4 linked regions of the Caenorhabditis elegans genome follow. The protein of the gene in region 1 interacts with the protein of each later gene in a pairwise test. Each region holds a gene or a part of one and is shown in the gene's direction. Other genes may lie near its edges. The genes, in order: nhr-41, thoc-2, skr-10 and rbr-2.

Region 1 (4,948 bases):
CCAAAAACCGATTAGATATTCATAATGACACTAAAACCAGGTATCAACTCCTATTTTTCCGCCACTTGATAGCGGATCAGAACATCGATAAGCGGATCCGAAGAGGAGCTATTTCAACAAAGTCAGAGCTTCGAGAAGATTTGTTGAAAGCTACTTGTTTTTATACATAATTTATAGTTCTAAAATATTTTCTGAAAATTTCTGAAAATGATTTTTCAGGAAGTTTTCAATAGTTTTTTACCGAAAAAAATCTTTGAAACTCTACTAAGAACTTCTTAATATAAAAACTCGAATTCTTCATCAAAATTCTAGTCAAATTGGCCCCCATATTGAGCCATTTCCTATAAGTTTGAAAAATAGGTCGCGGTGGCTTCGCTGGGTAGAGGTTGGGCTGACGCGCGGAAGACAGGGGTTCAATCCCCGCTGTAGGTGAATATTTTTGTGAGACTTTTTCCATCTAACAAGAAAAGAATCTCGAGTTGGAAACTAGGTTGAACCCTGTATGTGAAATTTTTGGCCCAAAAAACCGGAAATTTTCAATTTTCGCCGCGATGGCTCAGTGGCTAACAGGTTTGGCTGTGAATCTCGACACCAGGGTTCGACCCCAGCCGGTCCCAAATTTTTTTTCCGGTACATTTTTGATCATATGAAATGGGTAAATATTGTCGAAAAAAATTTCCAAAAAAAAATTAACAACAAATCCTCACAGCTAATACTTAAGCAACAAAGCCGCTCACCTATAAATTATCTTAATGAAAATGAAAAAAGAAAATCCGCCCCGGCCGGCACAGAAGAAAAAAATTATTTAACAGATTGAGTTCACGGCTCCGCTAAACACCGATTATCCCCCGGTAGCGGGGGATATGATTTTTGGGGATTTTTCAAGGATTTTCTATACTTTCCATATTTTGATGAAAAAAATTTTACTCCATCAGTGTAACTTTTTTGACAAAATTTGTGAGAGTTACATTTTTGTAAATTTTTTCCAAAATAATGAAAAAAATGTGTGTAATGTCAAAATTACTTTAAAACAGGGGAAACTATGTTAAATTAAGCTGTGCAAAAATGTTCTGGTGCACGTTGGGGTCGAGCCCTTGACCTTCTGCGCCATAGCCTAACATGTACCCAGTTCAGCACACATTTTCACGAAATTTCTAAAAAATTTCAAAATTATCTTAATTAGGCCAATATGGGAGTCACGTTGAAATTTAATGGAGAATTCGAATTTGACGTTTAATTTACTAAAATTTAATTTTTTCAACGAAAATTACTCGACACATGGAAAGTGTTGAAAACTAGTTTCTAGCTCGAAATTTTGTATTTTTGTCACTCAAAAAATTGCAACAAAAACTTATGACCAAGCTGGGACTCGAACCCCTGACCTTCTGCACCATAACCCAGCCTCTACCCGATTGAGCCACTTCGCCCCATTTTCCGAAATTTTTGACAATTTAAAAACTACCGAAATAGGTCAATATGGGGGTCATATTGACGGAAATTTTTTGTAAAATTCGAATTTTTAGGTTTAAAACGTTTAAACCCAAATGCTAAAGACTTAAATGTTCGTTTTCCTCAAAAGTTGTGACCTTTTTTTTTGCAACTTTGTTATACCAAAACCGCAACACATAGTACAGTTCCCCCCGCCCCCAAAATTCGTTCCGCGTTGCTATTAGCATACAATGCCCCCCACGGTCACTCACCTCTGTGTGCACTCTCCCGGTTTCGCGCACTATTTCCCACGCCGCGCGCCACACCGCTTGAAACATATTTCCAGTTGGTCAGCAGCGGCTGACTGACCGGCGGCGCGGTGATAAGGGGGAGAGTCTCCAGGAATAACGGTCTGAAACACCTCTCACTGTACTACTATATTATTCTCTCTTGTTTCTGTATACTCATGTACACTTTGCCAAAGTGCTCTGATCACCCACATCGTCCCCTTATTCTAGAAAATTCCACGTCATCAACTGGGCTAATATTTGCTGAGAGTCAAGCTTCAGCATCCCATCAAACTTGGATTAATATGGTGAGTTTTCTGAGGAAACGTTCATTTTTGTACATTTTTTAGGTTTTACTGAAGAACTAGCACTCAAATCGAAAATATTTCGGTACTTGTGTATTACATGTCCTCATTTTTAAATTAAATTAAACGGTTACTCGTGAATTTTTAGCTGCGAATCTCCAAAACCAAGCTCACGGCGAGCTCTCAAAGATCCTGAAAATAGCACTTTAACGAAGTAGTGAAGGGCCAATTTTCCAAATTTACTTTGGTAGCTCATATCTCAGCGGATAAATTTTTTACCGAAAAGTCATCAACTAATATGTTGTTGATATTTTTGTAAAGAACAAGTTTGTAGTTGAAAGTTTTTGTCAAAAAAATTGTTGTTTCAGATAGAAGCGCATGAAGTGCGGCAACTGCTGCTATTGCGATTTTAATGCTTTTATCTAAAACAAAAAACTTTTGGTAAAAACTTTTAACTACAAACTTGTTCTTTACAAAAAGTTCAACAATTTATCAGTTGATGACTTTTCTTTGAAAAATTTATCCGCAGAGATATGAGCTACCAAAGTGAATAAGGAAAATTGCTTGTTTTGATCGTAAAGTGCTTCGTTACAGTGCTATTTTAGGATATTTGAGAGCTCGCCGTGAGCTTGGTTCTGGAGATTCGCAGCTATCGAATGGCACAGGTTTCATATGCAAGTCCGATGGGCACCTTCTGACGGTTCCCTAGTTAGGAAATTTTATTTCCTAAGCCTAAAAATCCAAAAGTGTGGTTCACGTTTTTATTTTGCACAACTTAAAAAATTACTATAAAAATGAGGGCATGTAATACACAAGTACCAATATTTCAATTAAAATGTATTCAACGTTAAATTCTACACCAATTTACCGCACAATACAAAACAATTTCTGAAAAAAACTTTTTTTCGGGACAATTGTTTAAAAAATTTTTAAAGGCTAATTTTTCAATTTTTCAATTATTTTATTAAAACATTCGAATCTTCCGTCTAAAATCTCTAAAATCCGTTAATTTACCCCCATATTGCCCTATTTCCGATAAGTTAAATTTGGTCTCGGTGGCTCAGTCGGGTATCTGTTGGTCTAGACTATGACGCAGAAGACCGGGGTTCTAGTCCGGTAGGAGGGATTTTCTTTTTATTTTGATTTCTTGTACAAAATAACATGTAAAAGTCTAAATTATGGGAGTTAAAAAAAGATTTACGAAAAAAAAATTCTAAAATGAAATTCCTGTCACTCTAAAACTGTTTCAACCATCAAAACAGTTATAGTAAAAAATAAAAACCACAACTGGGCTCGAACCCTCGACCTTCTGACTCAGCCTAACCTCTGACCAGCTGAGCCACTGGGACCCAATTTTTTGACTTTTCTAAAAATTTCAAAATTTTTGTAAATTGGTCAATATGGGTGTCAACTTAACGGAAATTTCATGGAGAATTCGAATTTGACAATGAATATCTTTTAAAAAAATTCTCTGAATTTAAAGTTTGGAAAAATTGTCTTAAACAGGCTAATTAACTGGAAAGTTTATGAAAAATTATAATTTTCTTATTCCAGACGCTGGGTGACCCTTGCTCCGTCGAGCAACCCCCACCTCCACCCATCGATTTCTCACGGAGCCTAATTGCTCCGACCGCTATCAAACAAGAATCTCACCTAATTCCCTCAACGCCAGGTAATATTCTAATTAATTTTTTTCGAATAAAAAATAAATATAAATATGTTCAGGCACCCCAACAGCTTTCCAACCCCCACAGCATGCGAACACACCAATCCCTGGTATTCAGCCGAATTTGTTCAATCCGGCAATAATGGCGGCTCAACTAAACGTATTCAGCAACCCACAGTTGATGGCAATGATGCAGGTAAACTATTTTCTGCAAAAATGAGAATTCGGCAAAACTGGCAGTGCAAAAATAAAAAAATAAACTTCCCATGCCGGGAATCGAACCCGGGCCGCGTGGGTGAAAACCACGAATCCTAACCACTAGACCACATGGGAGGACGAAACGAGGAGGTCTCGAGTGCCTAGAGAAGAGTGTGCGGGAGGGGCCTGCTGACTGTAGCGGAAAAAGTTATATGGCGGGGGCAAAAAGAATGTCCAATTTTTTTCGAAAAAAAAACGAAATATCTCTCAAATTCTCGACCCTAATGAAAAATTACTATGTGTCTATGTGTGTGGAAGGTCATTCGATAACCTTTTTTTTCCCTCAAAAAAATATCATGAAAGGTTTGATCTCGTTTTCAAAAATATTTTTTAACTTTTGCCCCAAAATTTGTTTTTTTTTTGTTAAATTCTCCCTTAAATTTTTGAATTTCCAGGCTACCAGAAACCCATTGTTAGGACACCCGTCAGTTGTCGGTCCACCAATGATGCCAAATATCATTCAACAGCTAAATGCCCTTCGAAATGTTCAGGTAAAAAAAATGTTGCTCAAAGAACTTTTTTTCAAAAAAATTTTCCAATTTTTCCGATTTTCTAGGATTCCTTTTTATTTTAACACACTTTAACTATCCAAACAAACCTTGAGAAAAACATTTTCCCTTACTTGGGCTCGAACCCCGGTCTTGTGCGCTACAGCCCAACCTCTACCCAGTTGCGCCACTTCGATCCATTTTCAAAAATTTTAAAATAATTAGAATCCGGTCATTATGGGGGTCAAATTAACGGAAATTGCACGCAGAATCCGAATTTCGACATGAAAAACAATGAAAATCAATGCCTCAACCTAAAAAAACACAAAATTTTAACTAGAATTAAAACAATTTTAGGTTAGGACTTGGAGTTTTTCAAATCATTTACTAAATTTTCTGCGTATACCTAATATTCCAATACCCTTTTTTCCAAAAGTTTGGACTACAAGGACAGTGTCGCGAGCGCGCGCGCTCTCTCTAAAAACAGGTTTTGATCACCGGTCGAATTGTAGCTCC
Region 2 (7,884 bases), on another chromosome or scaffold:
AGAATGGCTGTTTTGTACCTACTGTTGTTTTCCCAATCTGAACCGTTTTCGCAATAGGCGACCCATTATTTTTTCTATCAACTCGTTTTTATTTTTGTTAGCTTCATCATCGTTTTTATCCACTATCTCCCATGCCTCCTCTCCCCACAACAAACACAGATCGTCTAGTAGCCTTTCTTCTCTCATTTAGGTAATTTCTTTTTATTCTTTTTTGGTTTTGAGCCCCATTTCCCTTTGAGCCCCGTCAGACCATTTTACCAGGTTCTTCTACCTTTCATATCCCCTCATCTCCACCTATCACCCCCATCTCTATCCCATTTTTTATTTCTTTTTTTCTGTAATTCCCCCTTCACTCGTTGTTGTTTTTAAGAAAACACACCCACGCCCTCTCATTCAATTATTTTATTCTTGTAATTCTTAAAATTACTTTACATTATGCGGAAAATCAATAAAAAGTAGAAATTCTTATTTCATATTTGCGTATTCTTTTCTCAATATATTATTCAGTTGGTTTTAACCATTTTCTCATGTACTGGTGATCAATCGTGTTGACGTCCACAATCGGGGACGTGGATCTGGTGACCATTTTTGGAGCCATCGGAGGCGGTGGTGGTGGTGGTGGAGCAGAAGCTGAGACTGTTGACGAGGCTGAAGGCTGTGCGATCTTTGATAGGAAGGACGGGTTGGATGCGGCCGCGTTCTGAAATTAACATGATATAAATTATAGAAAAATCTGAATAATTGTGCATTTTCTACTAAGGAATTCAATTTTTCTAGACTGAATCTGAAGATGGATCTCCAAAATTTCCGAACTAAATCAGATTGATCTGAGTATAGTTTTGTGAATTTTCAAGAAACATGATTTTTTAGTATTTCTGAAAACTTCAAAAGCCTATTTACCTGAAAATGATTCATGGCTGGAAAGATGCAAGTGGCTGTTGTCGAGTGTACAATCGGATCGCATTTCTCATAACCAAGAGATTCATAAAATCGACATTGATCATCAGTTGAGAGATATGCTTCATTGAAACCTTTTTCCGTCATCCATTTTTCTGTGGATTTCATTAAGAATTTCCCGAGTCCAAGGCCACGTTGATCCTTCTTGATCATCACTGACTCAATCCATAAGGCATGGTCACTGAAAATTAACAAATTTTGGGAGAATGGTTTGAGAATTATGATAGCTTCCTTTATTTTCAGGCTAAAATTTTTTAACTTTTTAAATATTTTTTCCTGAAATTTTAGTGAGTTATCAAATTTTCTAATTGTTGAAATATAATCCGAAAGTTTCAAATTTTTATTGTTTTATTCCAATTACTCACCGATTTGGAAGATGTGTGATTCTTGAGTGGCCTAGTATCTCGTCATTCTCCTTATTGAGCAACAAAAACGACATTGGAGGGGACTGACGGCATGATTTTTTCTGTGAATGCTCACGAGATCCATCGCTTCTGGGCCATTCCTGGAATTAGAAAAGTTCAAAATTATGAATATAGCTATTTATTTTACCAAAGAAAAAATACATTTAGAAAACCACTCTAGAATACAACTCACCGAATTCAAAAATGTCATACTCTCCTTCAAAAGATCCTGCCTATCATAAAGCGTAACAAAAAATAAGTCCGGCATCCTAATACCCGATAATTGGTTATGTTTCTGAGCTCAGATGCCCTCATCACACTCGATGGCCTAGAAATCTCAACTCTAGATTTCCCGTCCACGCGTTCTCACTCTTGTTTGCCTCGGCTGGCAAAGTGCCAACTCGCTTTAAAAAGTTTAATTTTTGAAATCTCATATTTCCTTTTAATGTTCTTTTTTTAGTTTCTGATTGAATTATTATAATTACAGAGAAATGAACGATTTCGAAACATTAACCCAGTTATGTCTCGATATTGTTCACATGAAAATCACACCGATGAAGGCTTATGAAAGGATACTCACAGAGAAGGTTTCGTTCATTTAAAATCTTGAACAAATTAGAAATCATTAATTTCAGAAAGATCGAGATGCCATCAGTTCGGAGCTGATCGACGTGTTAGTGCTCACCGAGCCGGAGAGCGAGTTCGCTGACAACGCGAGCACTTCCAAAGAGAATTTTGAATCCTTTGTGAATCTACTCACTAACACGGTAATAAAACTTTCAACTTTTAAAGCTCAAGGTTCAAAAAAGGCTTATTTATATGGAAGATAGTATTATTGGCGGAAAATAAAATTAACCTGTAGTTTCAGGATTGAAAAAAACTAATATTCTAACTTAATCCAAAATTGTTTAACAAAGAAATGAGATTTTAACTGGAAATTTCCTGTAAAAATACCAAATTTTTTTCAGATAATCCCCGAAGAAATCCTCCGCCTCGAGCTGGATTGTTTCAAAAAAGATGATCACAGCAAGGCACTAATTAGGTTGAAAACAAAAGTCTAGTAAGTTAAATTCATTCAATTTCTGCAAAAACTCATTTTTCTTCAGTTTCAAACAGGCCAAATTCAACTTATTTCGAGAAGAGTCTGAAGGTTACTCAAAACTTGTCACAGAGCTTATGGAAGCAGCCGAGAGCTCAGCGAATGAGAATGAACATGCGAAGATTCTGAAGCATCGAGTACTTTCATTAATTGGACAGTTCAATTTGGATCCAAATCGTGTCACTGACGTTATATTGGAAGTTTTCGAGAATTTCCCGAGGCAGAAGGTAAAATAAAGAATCTGCATAAATTCATGATGTTTTGGTGGTCAACCATGATGTGGGCGGAGCTTATTTGAAAGTTCAACAATAGAGAAAAATTGGAATTTATAACTTTTCCGTTTATCCTTTACAAATAAAACAATTGGAAATTCAAATGATGAGATTAAGAAATCTTGAAACGAATCCAGCTCATTTGTATTTTAAAAATATTTATTTTTAATTTCAGCTCCTTTTCATTGCACTTCTCAAAGAAATTGACGTGGTCCGTGACTATCTGTGTGCACTTCTGGGCTTCAAATTCACATTCTATCAATCGGATAAAAAGAAGAAAACGCCATATTCGTTGTACGTTCTGACAGCTTCGCTCATTCAACATGAAATGATCGATATGATGAAGATTTTAGGATATGTGAGGAGTCCCGTTTTAAATTATTCGAAATTATTAATTAATATTTATAGATGATTCCAAAAGCCGAAGCAATTAAAGAAGGGCACCGTTCAAGAATGCAGAATGCACAAGAAAGAGCATCAAAAGCAGAAACAATTTCTACAGCTTCAATGCCAATTATGGATTCAAGAGGTTTCGATGAAAATGGAATAGGTGGAAATGCGGTTAGGTCGGAAAATTGAATATTTATCTAATTTTTAAAAACATTTCAGACAACGCAAACGATTTCCTTCACTACAGTAATCCAACTTCAAGAAGACGAGGATATAAAATTATCTGAAGGGTTTAATGAGGAATATGTTCTCTCATCAAATCAGAAGCTTGGTTTAACGTGTGCATTATTAGAAAGTGGAAACTGGAAACAAGCTCAAATGCTCATTGATCGTCTCCCAGAATACTATGCAGTTCAAGCTAGTCCACGACTCTGTAGAGCTCTTTGCAAAATAATTGAGAAATCAATTAACGATTTTTACAAGAAAAATTGTTCGCTGAACTTGTTTGGAGATTTGATAAAATCGACGAAACCAGTGTTAGATGATATGGGAAATGGATTAAGACCAATCGAAAGTTGGGAAGATCTTGGAAAATTGTCAAGTGTACTTGCCTATTTGGGACCTAGAATAGCCTTTCGTGCTTCAACAAATATCAAAATTGTTCGACTTTTGACTGCCTACTACCGAAAAGTTGACAAGGATCTGCTACCGAAGGATGATAAACGTAGGTTTTTTTCAAATGTGAAATTTTGCGATTTTCGCCCCGATATTAAGGTTAACAAAACATTTTGAAAAAACGATAAAAACTAGGAAAAATTAGTTCGTATCTACAGAACTCCTTGTACTTTTGTACTTTTTTAAAATTTATGTAAATCTGTCACTTCGAGATCGAGCACCGTATTTTTGAAGAAAAAAAAACAACCATTTTCAAAATTAAATATCATTATTTCAGTAAATCAAAATTTCGTGGAAGTCGTCTCCGAATGTCTTCTACCATCTCTCACACTGTCCGAAACAAATGTTGCACTTAGTGAAGAGATTTGGCAGCTCCTTGAGCTTTTCCCGTATTCTTGGAGATATTGGATGTATTCAAAATGGAATCTTGAAACTTCAAGACATCCAGAAATGCATATAATGAAGGGGAAAATTCATGGACGAACAAAATATGTTCTGAAGCGTCTTTCGAAGGAAACTGTAAAGATGATGGGCAGACAATTGGGAAAATTGTGTCATATACATCCATCTACAGTACTCTCATATCTCCTCAGTCAAGTGCAAACTTTTGATAATTTCATTGGACCTGTTGTGGATAGTTTGAGATATTTGACAAGTCTTGAATTTGATGTTCTCACTTGTAAGTTTTCAAACAAAATTTAAAACAATTTTTTTTAGAAAACGAGAAAAAACGTCCAAAAAATTATTTTGTTAAAACCACGAAAACTGAAAGGTTTTGTAAATTTCGAACGTTTTTTTTTGAGAAATTTTAAGATTTTAACATATAAATTCATAAAAAAATTTTATGGAAAAATTGATACATTTTAAATTTTTGAGTCTTTCAGTTAGCTATGTGAAAAAATTCTCGTTTTTTTCATTCACTTGTAAACAAGTCAAACTTTTTCAAATCTATTTTAAATATTTCTCATTTGAAGGTTTTCCATTTATTCCAGATTGCATCATCTCCCAATTGGCTGATCCATCGAAACAAGCTCTCAAATCCACTGATGCTACCATCTCTCCTTGGCTGCAAGCTCTTGGAACACTGGTTGGATCTCTCTATCGAAGATATCCACTCGAACTGAACGGAATGCTAGACTATGTGCTAAATCAATTGAAACTTTGCAAAAGTTACGATATGCTTCTTCTTCGAGAAATTATCCAGAATATGTCATGGATCGAGAGTATCAGTGGAGCAACGAAAGAACAAATTGAAGCACTTGGAGGTGGAGACTTGTTGAAACAGGAAGCTGGTGGATATTCAACGGCAACAAAGAATAGAAAAGCTGCTCAACGTCTACGTGATGCACTTCTGAAAGGAGATTTGGCTGTTGGATTGGCAATTTCAGTTGCTCAACAAAAAGAGCATATTGTCTACAATGAAAGCTCTACTCTTCCATTGAAACTTGTTGGAAAAATGGTTGATCAGTGTAGTGACACATTTCAACAACTCGTTTCATTTTTGAGTGTTTATCTGAAAAATGATGATTTTTCGAAACGAGTTCCAACTGTTCGTGAATTGTTATCTGATTATTCACTTGGAATGGAAGCCACAATGTGTCTGGCGAGACCTATTTTCTTCTCAAGAATATCAGATCACTATGATGCGGCTAAAAAAATCTCGAAAGCTGCTGTTGAAGATGGACAAAAGACTCGTTTGGATACACAGCAAAAGACTGAAATGTTTACAAGTGCGTTGGAATCACAAGTGGAAATGTTAATGGATGAGCTGAAAGCATCTGAACCTGGCATGGAGGAGAATATACCTGTGAAGTGAGTTTTTATCAAATTTTCGCCCAGTTTGCTAAATTTTTCTTTCAGATTCTTCGCTGTTTTCTGGATGCTGACAATGTATGATATCGAAGTTCCGACAGCTGCATATGAACGGACACTTGATGCTTTAAAGAAACAGTCAAGAGAAGACAGTCATGTTAGTTTTCATCTATAAATAATCTACTATTTTTTATTTCAGGGAAAAGCTAAGAAAACTGATAAACAGTTGGAGAGTAAGCTTCGAGAAGAGCAGAAGAGGCAAATTGAGCACGTGGAACGTTGTAAAGTATGGCTTCTGAACAAGAAAGACTCGTTGATTGATGAGCAATTCCATAATTGTAAGTTTATGCATGAAATCCGCTTTAATACTTTTCCAATATTTCCAGCTGTATTGGAAGCTCTCATTCAACAATGCCTCCTGCCACGTGCCATATTCTCCGAACTTGATGCAGTGTTCTGTGGTCAATTCTTCATGATGCTTCACGAAATGCGGACTCCATTCTTCCCATCGGTTCTGATCATTGACAGACTCTTCGAGAACATAATTCCTCTGATCGCGGGGCTCACCGAGAACGAAGCCAACTCGCTGGCATGCTTCTTTGAAATTCTGCTCTGCACTGTTCAAAGATGGCACTCGGAGAAAGAAGTTTTCGAGAAGGAATGTGCAGGATTTCCAGGAATGATCACAAAACAAGCAATTGAATATCAAACTTTCCGAAAGTTATGCTATAGATGGCAAATTCGATTTACTGCCATGTTTAAGACAGTCTTCACAAAAGATGATGCTGACTATGTACTTATCAGAAATTCATTGATTATGATGACAAAGTTGACATCTGGATTTCCAGTCATATCACATGCAGTCGCCACAATGGAAACAGCTGTAACCAAGTTGAAGGATCGAGAGAAGGGAAAACGTGACGATCTATCATTAAAAGCAGCCTCGTATGTTGGAAAGCTCAAGATGAGAACTGTGAAGATTTATGCTCAAAATTCGGATTACGCCCCAGTTCCCAACAAGAAGGTGTCGGTCGGTGCTGAAAAACCAAAGAAAAAAGAAAAAGTGGTAGATGAGAAAGATAAAGCTGATGGGGAACCAGTTGATAAGAAGATTAAAGTAGATTCGAAGAAAAATGGGACGACGAGTTCGGAGAAAGTGGTGAAAGATGATGAAGTACATCAGAATGGAAGTGAAACAGAGAAGAAAGCTACAGTAGATAACAAAGAGAGAAAGAAGCGACCTGGAGTGAGTACATAAATTATTAAAATTCACAGAACTGAACTAACTATTATAATTTTAGAAATCATCCCACGGATCAAAAGAATCAAAGAAAGAGCCAACAACTGAAGATGGTGAAGTGAAGACTCCAAGTCCCCCTCCTGCAAAGAAGACTCGAATTGTTGATCGCTTAAAACGGTCTGATGAACCTTCAAAGAAAGATGAGAAAGAATCTCCGAAGGACACAGAATCTGAAAAAGGAGAAGGTAAGAAAAGAAGAGAACGATCGAAAGACAAAGAAACAGGAAAAGAGAAACGGTTGGAGAAGGATAATAAGGAACGAGAAAAGGATAAGGAAAGGAAGCGAGAAAATGGAGAAAACCAGAAAGAACAAAAGATTCTCAAAGATCAGAAGCAAAAAAGCAAGCCGTCCGATGAGAAGCTTGAAGTGGCAGGACCCGCGGTAAGATATTAACGTTTTCTCAAGCTATTTTCAAAATTTTCCTTTCGAAAATGTGATTTATTTCAGCTTCCCGACCCAGTTCCCAAGAAAGATGACAAGAAAGGCTCTCGAAAAGCGATTGAGTTTGATCTAGAGGAGCCTTCAAAATCAACATCGTCCTCTCGAAAAGATCGCAAAGATGATCGAAAAGAAAAAAAAGAAGAACTTCCAAAGGCATCAAGAATAGCAGAGCCTGCACGTGATGCTGGAAAGAGTGGAAGAGATCGTGGGCATCGAACATTTAGATGAGCTCTCACCACATATCCCCAGATTTTCATTATTGTATCTCAGTTTATGTTGTCTACGAGGTTTTCTATTGTATCCTGATGGATTATTAAATATTCGTTTTATTTTTTGTTAGCATTAAATCTAAAGACATTGGATCGTTGAACTTCTTGGAATGTGAAAGCAATGGAAGTATTTCGAATATAGAATGCTTGCTCGAAGAGTCAATCCAAAAGTCGAAGATCAAGTGCTAAATGTGAGCAAAAGACAACGTCAAATTTCCGAACGACTTCCAATCTATGGGAACAGCCCTTTACTTGAATTTACTG
Region 3 (2,661 bases), about 15 Mb from region 1:
TAGCAACCAAATTGAATTAAGTCGGAAATGGAATAAAAAATTGGAGAAACAAATAGAATGCATTGAAAAATGGAAAAAAAGAAAGAACAAAAAATGCGACTACTCACAATGAGAAGAGAATGTATAAATGACTCCTCACAATCAGGCAGACTGTTTTTTTCCAGAAAACGACTGGGACGCTGCAAATCTAGGTCAATTATTGATATTGGGTAGAGAGAGTTCAATGCATTTCTAGGAGGTTTAGAAAAACAGACAGTGCACCTGCTCTAGGATTTCCCTAACAAAGGTCTTTTCTCTCTAAACCTCGCCTATAACACAATGTCTCATCTCATCCTGTCAAAATTTGACCTACATTTCCAGCGTTTTTAACCGAAGCCAGTTAGGCTATTGGTCATTCTTGCATTTAGCTCTCACCCTGGGCAGCTGCATTTTATTTTTCCTTCTTTTTAAATTTTTTTTTTTTTTGGTTTTTCGTTCTTTTGTTTTATCAATGACCCAGAATCTGTTTGTCTGAAAACCTTAAACTTTAAGCATTCAAAGTTCTAGTCCAATTAAAAATGTTGAACTCTCTAAAACTATAATACCTGTTTGATGCAGTTTTTATAATAAACTATTTTTGAACAAATCCCGATCGAGAAATAAACTTGATAATTACTTAAAGTTGTACCACTAATAAAACCGAAAAATCACTTTAAAATTCGATTACCTATAACCTTAAAAAATATTCTGATCTTCTAAAAACCTCCTAAAATGTAATTTGAGAAAATGTCGCAATATTGCAAAAAAAATTTAAAATCAATTCTAAATTTTGCTATTTCGAGGTGTTATCAAATTTTAGCGCAAGCCTTATTCGAATATTGCATTGGGATTTGCTTTCTTCTTTTTTTTTGTAAAATTCATATCGAGGATATGTAAACCAGTTTGTCAAATTTGTTGCTTTAAACCCCTTTGGATTAATTTAGGCTTACACTATTTCAGACCACTTTTTGATCGATAAAATATTAGGGGCCTCCTCAACAACCTTGTCGGTTGATATTAAACCTTTTTAGACAAATCGATATTTTTCGAACAAACGCAGCGTTCCATGCTGTTGATTTTGCGTGTATAACTCTTCAATCAACTTTAGATGCAATACTATATAAATCTTATCCAAATGTATAACAACCAGTTGAAACAGTCAAATTTTCTTTTTCTCGTCGCGTTCAACTTGACGGCATTTCTCATCATCTCCCTGTGGAAAACTAATCAATACTTTTTGAACAAACGCAGCGTTCCAATCGATCGATTTCTAACATTTTTTGAGGGATAGTCTGTCTGCAGAGTCATTCTATCGTTTATATCTCATTGTGAGCAGTCGTCTACATTTTTTTCTATCTTTCTATACACATTTCAAAACTATTATCTAACGTTGTTACCCGAAATTATAACAGCTGTTAGATACAGTTCTTTTTTTTACTTTTTGAAATCAGATTTTCCTACATTTTCTTAACTTAATCATCTTTCTTTATTTTTTCAACCCATTATTTTTCCAGAAACTACTCTAAAACTACCAACAATGTCCGCTGAAGTCGCTGCCGTTGAAATCCAAGAAGCTCCAGTTGCTGCTCCAATCATGTACAAAGTTGAATCAAATGATGGAACAGTTTTCGAAATCAGTGATGAAGCAGTAAAACAATCAAATACACTCTCCAATCTAATCTCTACATGTGCTCCAGAAGATGTAGCTTCAATGGATCCAATTCCAATTACAAATGTCACTGGAAACATCCTGAAGATGGTCATTGAATGGTGTGAGAAACACAAAGGAGAAGCACTTCCAGTTGATGATGACAGTGTTCCAAAGCATATCACTGTTCCCGAATGGGATACCAACTTCTTGAAAATCGACAACGAAGTGCTCTTCGACTTGATTGTTGCCTGCAACTACCTTGATGTGCCTGGATTAATGAATTATGGATGCAAGATGGTTGCCATGATGGCTATCGGAAAGTCTCCTGATGAGTTGAGAATCATCTTTGCAATTCCAACTGATGAAGAGGATGAAGCTGCTGAGAGAGCTGCAAAGGAGAAGGCTGAAGCTGAGAAGAAGGCGAATGCTGAGAAGGACGCAGCTGAACCATCGACTTCCAAATAATTTCTATGTATCAAGTGTTTTGTGTTTCTTATCAAATAAATAAGTTTGACTGTAATCTTGTTGACAAACATTACACAAAATTTTTATTAACAGTTTCAAGGTGTTGTTTTGAAGAGTTATTCCTAAAATGAAATATTCCATAGCAAGGTTCTAACACAGAATGCACTTTGACTATCTTCTTGTTGAAACATTTGGAAATTTTGAAAAAAAACATCTACTGTTTCAATATGTTGATTTTAAGAGTGAGGCTAAACAAGCAACAGTAAGTTTTTATTTAACCAAAAGCAATTACGTTTGAAAATGTCACAATTAAACCTTATAAACTAGTGTTGAAAGGGCATTCAAAAAAAAACTCGCGTATCTAGTTACTTTAATTCAAAAAATTCAAAAATACCATGCCACTTTTGCGGAAAAGTTTGCAATTTTGTGCGATGCTCAAAAATGTATTCACATATATCAATTTTTATGTTGGAACGTTTACTACCTAGCAACAAGAACTCCAGTAAGCTTCCTAGTCCTGGTTTTCT
Region 4 (7,723 bases), 9.5 Mb from region 1:
AAACGAATGCTCTGAACATCTGAAAATCGTGCACTGTTCAATATGTTACACATTTTCGCTTTAAGTTCCGCGTTCAGCCTCACTTTCTAACCACGTCTGTGATTACACGTCTTCAGCGTTCGGTCATAAACTTCTGATTCTCCCTCCGTTTCGTCTATTTGTCGTAAGAATGTGTGTAGTCGTGTGAAACAAGTCTTTTTCGCCCTTTCGTTTTTAATCAGCTTCTTCACACGCAGACAGCTGATTCTGCTTTTGCAGTTATAATCTATGTCTTCTCATTCTCTCGCGCGCAACCATCGTTTATTTCAAAACGGGCGCATAATAACTTTTTAATGAGTTTGATTTAGTTTTGAAAAATAATATTCACATTCCTTAGAAACTATGGAGATTCACAATTCGGCGAAATCAGTTTCTACATATTACTGTGTACTTTTTACAACTTCTATGATTTTAAAGTGGCGAGTTTATGCGGAATGGTCTCGCCACGCTCTGCGATTTTTTTTTCAGAAATCTGGTATGTGCGCCTTTAAGATTACTGTAGAGGGTTTGCTGGCAAATCTCCAATTTTCTCGTTTCTCCCTTTTCTTCATTTTCGATTGTTCTTTTCCCAATTTTCTGTATTTTATGTAATTAGACATGCCAGAAAAATCTCTACAGTCATCTTAAAGGCGCACACGCCAATTTTTTCATGAGTTCGCAGTGCGTGGCGAGACCATTCCGCATTGATACGCCTCCCTTTAAAACCGTAGTAAACAAACACAGTCTCAAATCTTCAATTAAAAATGCTGGCTCTCGGAGCCATAATTCCATGTTCTCTTTTTCTCTCAGTCTGTGTTCATTTTACATGCGTCTTCCTGCTTTCTCTTCGTTTTCTTTGTGTGCGCCCATCTTTCCTCAGCTGCTGGCCTCAAAAAAAAGTTAGTGCAAAAATTCACGTATTACTAGGAGGCACATGCGAGAACGCGTCGCGCACATAACATGAATAAAGTGTGATTGGGCAGGAGACCGAGAGATTATTGCTAGCGAATAGCATGCAAACAGAGGAGTGACAAGACGACGAGAGTGGACACTCGAGAGTAATGTTCGGCGGAGCGCACTTTCCTCGATTTTCGTGGGCCGACCCTGGTGGGCGCTGGGGGCTATTTCCTCTCGGTTTTTCGATTTTATCTATATTTTTTTCTGTTTCTCCGCTTATCTTTACCGCACGCAATTTCTGACGAAAAGGACACCGACCTACTGCAAAGTGGTCAAAGAATACCAGTCTCTCAATGCATTTTAGGTGACACATCAAAAAGATTCAGAGAGATGGAGTTTTCAATGATTTGAGTTACTATACGATGCCTTACGTGTCTTGACCTACATTTAAAACTCTACCAAAGATCCTTGTCTAAACTTTGAAAAGCTGCTCGACCTCAAAAATTGGAGAAATATATATATTTAAATATGAGTCATTTTTCAGCTTAATTATTTATACAATATTAAGTTCAAATCAAAAGCTTAATAAGAAAAAGCTTAAAAGCCAATTTTAAAGGAGTATAAGCTAATTTTCATTTCCGGGTTTCTATGACGTCTATCATAACACTCGTGATGCATCTTGTTTCATCACATGGAAATTTCTCGTCGGTACTTAAAATGTTCTTCTTCTCAAAGCTTTTAATTTCAATTAATATTAAAGTCAAACAAAAATGAAATTTACAGATCTCATGAAGCTATAAGCCAAACTGAAAAATGCGTGCACGTCGTCAAGAGAACAGTATCTCGACGCCGTCAGCACCGTCGACGAGCACTTCTCCGCGGAAGAAAGCATCCATCGGAAATTCAAGATCTAAGAATCATGGAAGCAAAATGGAAATGTACGATCAATTCTATAAGGTTTGATTACTAAGACATACATAAGGTGAATAAGCTTTCATAGTTTTCAGAAATTCGTACGACCTCCAATGGCTCCAATTTACTACCCGACAGAAGAAGAGTTCTCAGATCCAATCGAGTATGTTGCCAAAATACGACACGAGGCCGAAAAATTTGGAGTTGTTAAAATTGTTCCGCCGGCGGTAAGTTATTTATTCGGAAAATTGTACGTCTGACGTTTAACAAGTTTTTAATCGTTTTTGAAAAGTCTGAAAAAAAGCGAAACAATGTTTGTAGTAGTTTAAAAACTTCTACTACTCCCTTCAATTAAATACTAAATATTAGAAAATTTTCAGTTTACTAAAAGAATGGTCACCACTTGAAAAGTGCAATTTTATCTGAAAATTTTTGATTTTTCCCTCAAAAAACGAATCGAGAAGCATCAACTCTCTTTTTTTGCAGAATTTCAAACCACCGTTTGCTATCGACAAAGAAGCCTTTACATTTCGTCCCCGAACTCAAAAACTGAATGAAGTGGAGGCAATTGTCAAAGAGAAACACACATTTATTGACCGATTAATCAATTTCAATCGATATTCTGGTCTAACTTTTGAGTTTCCAGTGGATCGAGATGGAAATATTGTCGATTTGTATCGATTACATCGTATAGTTCAAAACTTTGGAGGATGTGAAGAAGTGAATGAAGATGAAAAATGGAGAGACGTTGCCCGCGAATACCTTCCAAAGGAGCAAATGGCTCGCGGTGTTCCGTCGGCTTTCATAAATTTGATTCGATCACATTATAATTTGCACATTGAACCATTTAATCGAAATTTGAAAGAAAAAGCGATGAAAAATGATGATGAAAGTGATGATGAAATGGAAGAATTAAAGCATAAGTGAGTAATTAAGAAATTTAAATAAATAAAAATCTACAAATCAGTTAAGAAAACATAATGTAGATGGATTTTTTTGAAATTATATGCATTTTAAATTTTTCTTATGTACCCATGTTTTTGTTTTTTAGAACCATGAAAAAATGTTAAAACCGATAAATAGTAAAATTTTTAATTTTGTTATTAATAATTTCCCCCATTATTCTAATTAAAAACGAATGAATTTCATAGATATCAACATCACCACGGAACTATGCGGACAGAAATAGAAGTTCCAAATGATAAAACTACTGAAGGAGGGGAAGATGAGTGTCCAGTGTCGATGCAAAGTGGTCGACGGAGATCTAAAAATAAGAAGGCTTCATCTTCAAGAAAGACTCTTGGAACATCTTCAAAGAAGAATTCAACCAGAGGAAGAAGTTCGTTTTTTAAATTTAAATTTTTTAAATTTATTTTCACAAATTACAGAAAATAAGAAGAAAGCCGAAGGAGACGATGATGATGATGAAGATCCAATGGATCAAGTATTCTGCGTTGCTTGTAATGAAGGAAAGGATGAAGATCTACTACTTCTTTGCGATATTGATGGATGCAATAATGGTCGTCATACATATTGTTGTGATCCAGTACTCGATGAAGTACCAGAAGGCGAGTGGAGATGTCCAAAGTGCATTGAATCAGAGGATGCAAAAATCGGATTAGACTGGGGATTTTATGATGCGGACACAGAATACAATCTGAACTCATTCACTGAATTTGCCAACAAATGGAAATGTGATTATTTCGGTGTAAAAGATGTATCACAAGTGTCGTGTGATGCTGTGGAACGATCATTCTGGAAGAATGTAATTTCACACGAAAATCCAGTTTCTGTCAAATACGGTGCCGACTTGATTACGAGTCGAGTAGGAAGTGGATTTCCTCGAAAAGAAGATAAGCACACTGGCCCAGATCTGAAGCTGAAGCAGCAATACGCTTCACATGCATGGAATCTGAACAATATGCCTGTACTTCGAGAATCTGTTCTCTCACATTTTAATACTGGAATTTCTGGAATGATGGTACCGTGGGTCTATGTTGGTATGTGCTTCTCGACGTTCTGCTGGCACACCGAAGATCATTGGACGTATTCTGTTAACTATAATCATTTTGGAGAACGGAAAATTTGGTACGGTGTTGGTGGAGAAGATGCTGAAAAGTTTGAAGATGCATTGAAGAAAATAGCACCTGGATTAACTGGAAGACAAAGAGATCTATTCCATCATATGACTACAGCTGCAAATCCTCATCTTCTTCGTTCATTGGGAGTTCCAATTCATTCAGTTCACCAGAATGCTGGTGAATTCGTCATTACATTCCCACGTGCTTATCATGCTGGTTTCAATGAGGGACTCAACTTTGCGGAAGCTGTCAATTTCGCTCCAATTGATTGGCTATCAAAAGGTCGAGAATGCGTTGAGTCTTACTCAAATGTACGAAGATATCTTGTATTTTCTCATGATGAGCTTCTCTTTAAAATGGTTGAAGCAATGGATAAACTTGGAATTTCGATGAGTTTAGCAACACATGAAGAACTGATAAGAATATATGAAAAACAAAAAATGTTGAGAGAACTTCTCGCTCGCCTCGGAGTTTCCAATCGCCAAATGCAGCAAGTGATGTTCGAAAAGATTCCAGATGAACAAAGATCGTGTCGTTTTTGTAAGACGACTCTCTTCATGTGTGCATTGGTTTGTAACAAACACAAGAAAATGACTTGTGTTGAACATCATGATCATCTTTGCAATTCGTGTACAACGAAAGACTACAGATATCAGTACAGATTCGAGTTGGATCAATTGAACAATATGTGTGATGAACTTGGAAAGCGTACGGTTAACTACAATGGATGGAAAGAAGAGTCGGATGAGATGCTTGAAGAAGAAGGAAAACCAAAACTCGAGAGAATTGAAGAGTTTATAGATTCTGCCAAACAAAACAAGTATCCACAGACAGATCAAGTTCATAAATTGATAACAATTCGTCATACAGCCAAGAGTGCCATTGAAAAAGCAAATCAATTGCTCTTTAAGAAAGTACGAACGCGAACAAAAACCCGATGTCAGAGAGCCGACACTCGTACAGACACCGAGGGAGTACGGTCATTGATTGAACAAATGCAAGCCATGGATTGCAATTTGACTGTTATTATTGATAAACTTGAGAAATGGATGGAACAAGTTGAAATGTGGAGAAACAGAGCAAAAGATGCTATCTATCGAGAACAAGAATACTCAAAAGAAGAAATCGAGAAGATTATTGAAGAGGGAGATGAATATGATATTAAATTGGAAGAAATCGATGAGTTGCGAAAAGTTATTCAAATGAAGGATTGGTCGGATAGAGCAAGAAAAGTTACTACATGGAAGGCAACTCCCGATATGGAGAAAGATATTGATTTTGAGTATAAGCTTCGATATGCATCCAGTGATATTTTATCGTAAGATTTTAAAAATATTTTTTCTCTTAAAAGGAAATTTGTGTTTGTGGATTTTTCCTCGAATGGGCTCGGCCCAAAACGACCGAATTTCATGATGAGACCTTAAAAATATTTCCAAATACTCTATACCCCTTTAATTCAAAAATTCAATTATATGTTTCAGATTGATTCGTGATAGTCCACGAAATCCCACAGATGGTACTTCTAAACTCGTCTTTGAACTTCAACAAATGCTCCGTGACGCCAATACACTCGAGGTCATTGCAAACAATTTCTGTGAGAATCCAGCACTTGATCAGCTTCAATCAATTTGGCAAAGCCTTAGAGAAACTGATTGGTTCTATGAAAAATGTTTGTTATTTAATGCATTAGTAATTCTTACAAAATAATTTTTAAGATATTAACATGGTTCGCTATGAGATCATTCATGTTGCCAAAATCAAGTCAATGATAGATGCCGCAATTCCCGTGCTATCAGAATTTGATTTAAAAACACAACTGCAGAAAATTGTCAATGTTGAAATTACACTATCGAAGGCGGCCGAAATCAGTAAAGCATTCGAAACTTCAAAATGTCTAAACGGTTCCGAAGAGCATCTCGGGATTTTGGATATGATCAGCACAATGAATGCATTTACTCAGAGGATAGCTATTCTGTTCAAGCCAAATAATGCGTATCACAATCTTTTTGAAGTGAGTGAGATTCGTGAAATTTGACGATTTTTCGCAAAAAATACGGTACCCGGTCTCGACACGACAATTTTAGTTAAATACAAACGAATGTGCGCCTTTAAAGATTACTGTAGCTTCATAATTTCGTTACTGCGGAATTTTCATAGATTTTTCATAGTTTTCGTTATAAATTTATTTATTTAATAAAAAACTATGTTGAAATAATTAAAAACATGAGACAAATACTAAGAAAAAAAAAGAAAAATCAAGGAAAATTTCGCAGAACCAAAAATTTGAAATTACAGTATCTTTAAAGGCGCGCACCTTTTTAAATTAAACGAAAAAATTTCGTGTCGAGACCGGTGACCGTATATTTGGGTAACATTAATCCAATCAGGAAGTAGCATAGACATTAGCTTCGATCTAATTTGCCTTAAACTTGAATTTTCCAGATTCTCTCCGAACGCGATGATTTAACTCCACTTGCTGAAGGACAAACGATACCATTATATTTTCAAGGAGGCGCAGTACATCCATCTGATGAATGGCATCAAATGAAAGAATTCGAGTCATTAGATCAAATTGTGCATCATCAATCATCGCTACGTGAAATGCAAATGAGAATTTTTGAAAAGGTGAAACAAGCAAATTCAGCTCGTGGTCTTGAAGCATGCTCATGTCTTGGATTCAACAAATCAGATGATTCCGAATCAACACTGACATGCATAATGTGCGATTCAGAGTTTCATGTTCGATGTTGCGAGTGGTCACCGTTCCTTGAAAAACTTCCAGAAGGATGCTTTTTATGTGTTCGATGTCTACGGGGACAACGTCCAGTCATTGATGATGTAACAACTGCTCTGAATGGAACACCTTCTGGATGTTTGGAAACACATCTTGTTCGAAATCTAATACAAAAAACTCGTGGAATCACTCAAAATTTGATGGAAGCTGCTAATAAACGGAAATCAGGAGAATCCAGCGACGATATTTGTAAAATTGCCTTATTCGATTGGCTATCGTGTGAAATTCTGAATCCCAATGGTCTTCCGAAGGCACGCGAGCTGATTTCAGAATTTTATATGGAATATCTTCAAAAACAGTCAAGGTTTGTACACATTATATGTATTAATTTTATTTTTAATTTTTTCAGCGCCGCACTAGAACTCAAAAATCGCCCGGTTCGTTCAAAACCATCGGTATCACTCTTCGATCCAAAAATCACAGCTAAACGCAAAAGGCCAAGTGTTTCACACAAAGAGACGTCGAAAAAATCACGCAAACGTCAAAGTCAAGCATCACCCAGTGAATATTACGAAGACGAGTCTGAATTCAAGTCGTGTCAAGCTCGCGCCTGTTTGAAGCCATATGGAGACTCAGTGAACTGGGTGATGTGTGAAGCAGGCTGCAAAAACTGGTTCCATGTGATTTGTCTTGGATTCACTCTGAGAGGTAAATTAAGATCGGGTTTTGTGGTTTTTTGGAAAAAAAATTTAATTGTAAGGAGAAAAAAAAACGAACCTTTGTTTTGTGACAGACCTGATCTCAAAAAAAAACTTTGTGCCAAAAATACGGTACCCGGTCTCGACACGACAATTTTTGTGAAACACAAACGGGTGTGCGCCTTCAAAAAGTATACTGTAGTTACCAACTCTCGTTTCTGTGGGATTTCATTGTCGTAAAACTTTAAAAAATTTTAAAAACTTCCGCGTTTTTATTTACTCTTTAAAGGCACACAACTTTTTTGCAAGTAAAAAAAATTGCCGTGTCGAGACCGGCTACCATATTTGTTCAATTTTGCGTATTTGCTAATTTAACAATTTTT

Evidence for each region.
Region 2: the proteins of nhr-41 (region 1) and thoc-2 interact in a two-hybrid assay, tested with the Caenorhabditis elegans proteins (one large-scale study listed by BioGRID).
Region 3: the proteins of nhr-41 (region 1) and skr-10 interact in a two-hybrid assay, tested with the Caenorhabditis elegans proteins (one large-scale study listed by BioGRID).
Region 4: the proteins of nhr-41 (region 1) and rbr-2 interact in a two-hybrid assay, tested with the Caenorhabditis elegans proteins (one large-scale study listed by BioGRID).

Annotation. Positions count from the first base shown.
Region 1 is NC_003282.8:1,384,269-1,389,216, forward strand, and holds the start of nhr-41 (Nuclear Hormone Receptor family), read left to right. Parts: upstream 1-1,946; 5' UTR 1,947-2,020; coding exon 2,021-2,023; intron 2,024-3,574; coding exon 3,575-3,692; intron 3,693-3,745; coding exon 3,746-3,882; intron 3,883-3,947; exon of another isoform or gene 3,948-4,019; intron 4,020-4,339; coding exon 4,340-4,435; intron 4,436-4,948.
Region 2 is NC_003281.10:6,366,194-6,374,077, forward strand, and holds thoc-2 (THO complex subunit 2), read left to right. Parts: upstream 1-1,848; 5' UTR 1,849-1,852; coding exon 1,853-1,948; intron 1,949-1,996; coding exon 1,997-2,128; intron 2,129-2,329; coding exon 2,330-2,421; intron 2,422-2,467; coding exon 2,468-2,687; intron 2,688-2,907; coding exon 2,908-3,090; intron 3,091-3,140; coding exon 3,141-3,293; intron 3,294-3,341; coding exon 3,342-3,846; intron 3,847-4,074; coding exon 4,075-4,476; intron 4,477-4,789; coding exon 4,790-5,609; intron 5,610-5,657; coding exon 5,658-5,766; intron 5,767-5,808; coding exon 5,809-5,947; intron 5,948-5,995; coding exon 5,996-6,855; intron 6,856-6,910; coding exon 6,911-7,291; intron 7,292-7,357; coding exon 7,358-7,579; 3' UTR 7,580-7,711; downstream 7,712-7,884. Other genes in the region: C56G2.15 (N-acetyltransferase domain-containing protein), read right to left, coding at 500-700, 901-1,138, 1,323-1,462, 1,555-1,629.
Region 3 is NC_003282.8:15,945,252-15,947,912, forward strand, and holds skr-10 (Skp1-related protein), read left to right. Parts: upstream 1-1,555; coding exon 1,556-2,134; downstream 2,135-2,661.
Region 4 is NC_003282.8:10,918,379-10,926,101, forward strand, and holds the start of rbr-2 (Lysine-specific demethylase rbr-2), read left to right. Parts: upstream 1-1,691; 5' UTR 1,692-1,728; coding exon 1,729-1,872; intron 1,873-1,915; coding exon of another isoform or gene 1,916-1,922; coding exon 1,923-2,054; intron 2,055-2,313; coding exon 2,314-2,750; intron 2,751-2,978; coding exon 2,979-3,166; intron 3,167-3,215; coding exon 3,216-5,226; intron 5,227-5,389; coding exon 5,390-5,577; intron 5,578-5,623; coding exon 5,624-5,919; intron 5,920-6,350; coding exon 6,351-7,006; intron 7,007-7,051; coding exon 7,052-7,350; intron 7,351-7,723. UniProt on the Caenorhabditis elegans protein: Histone demethylase that specifically demethylates 'Lys-4' of histone H3, thereby playing a central role in histone code. Does not demethylate histone H3 'Lys-9', H3 'Lys-27', H3 'Lys-36', H3 'Lys-79' or H4 'Lys-20'.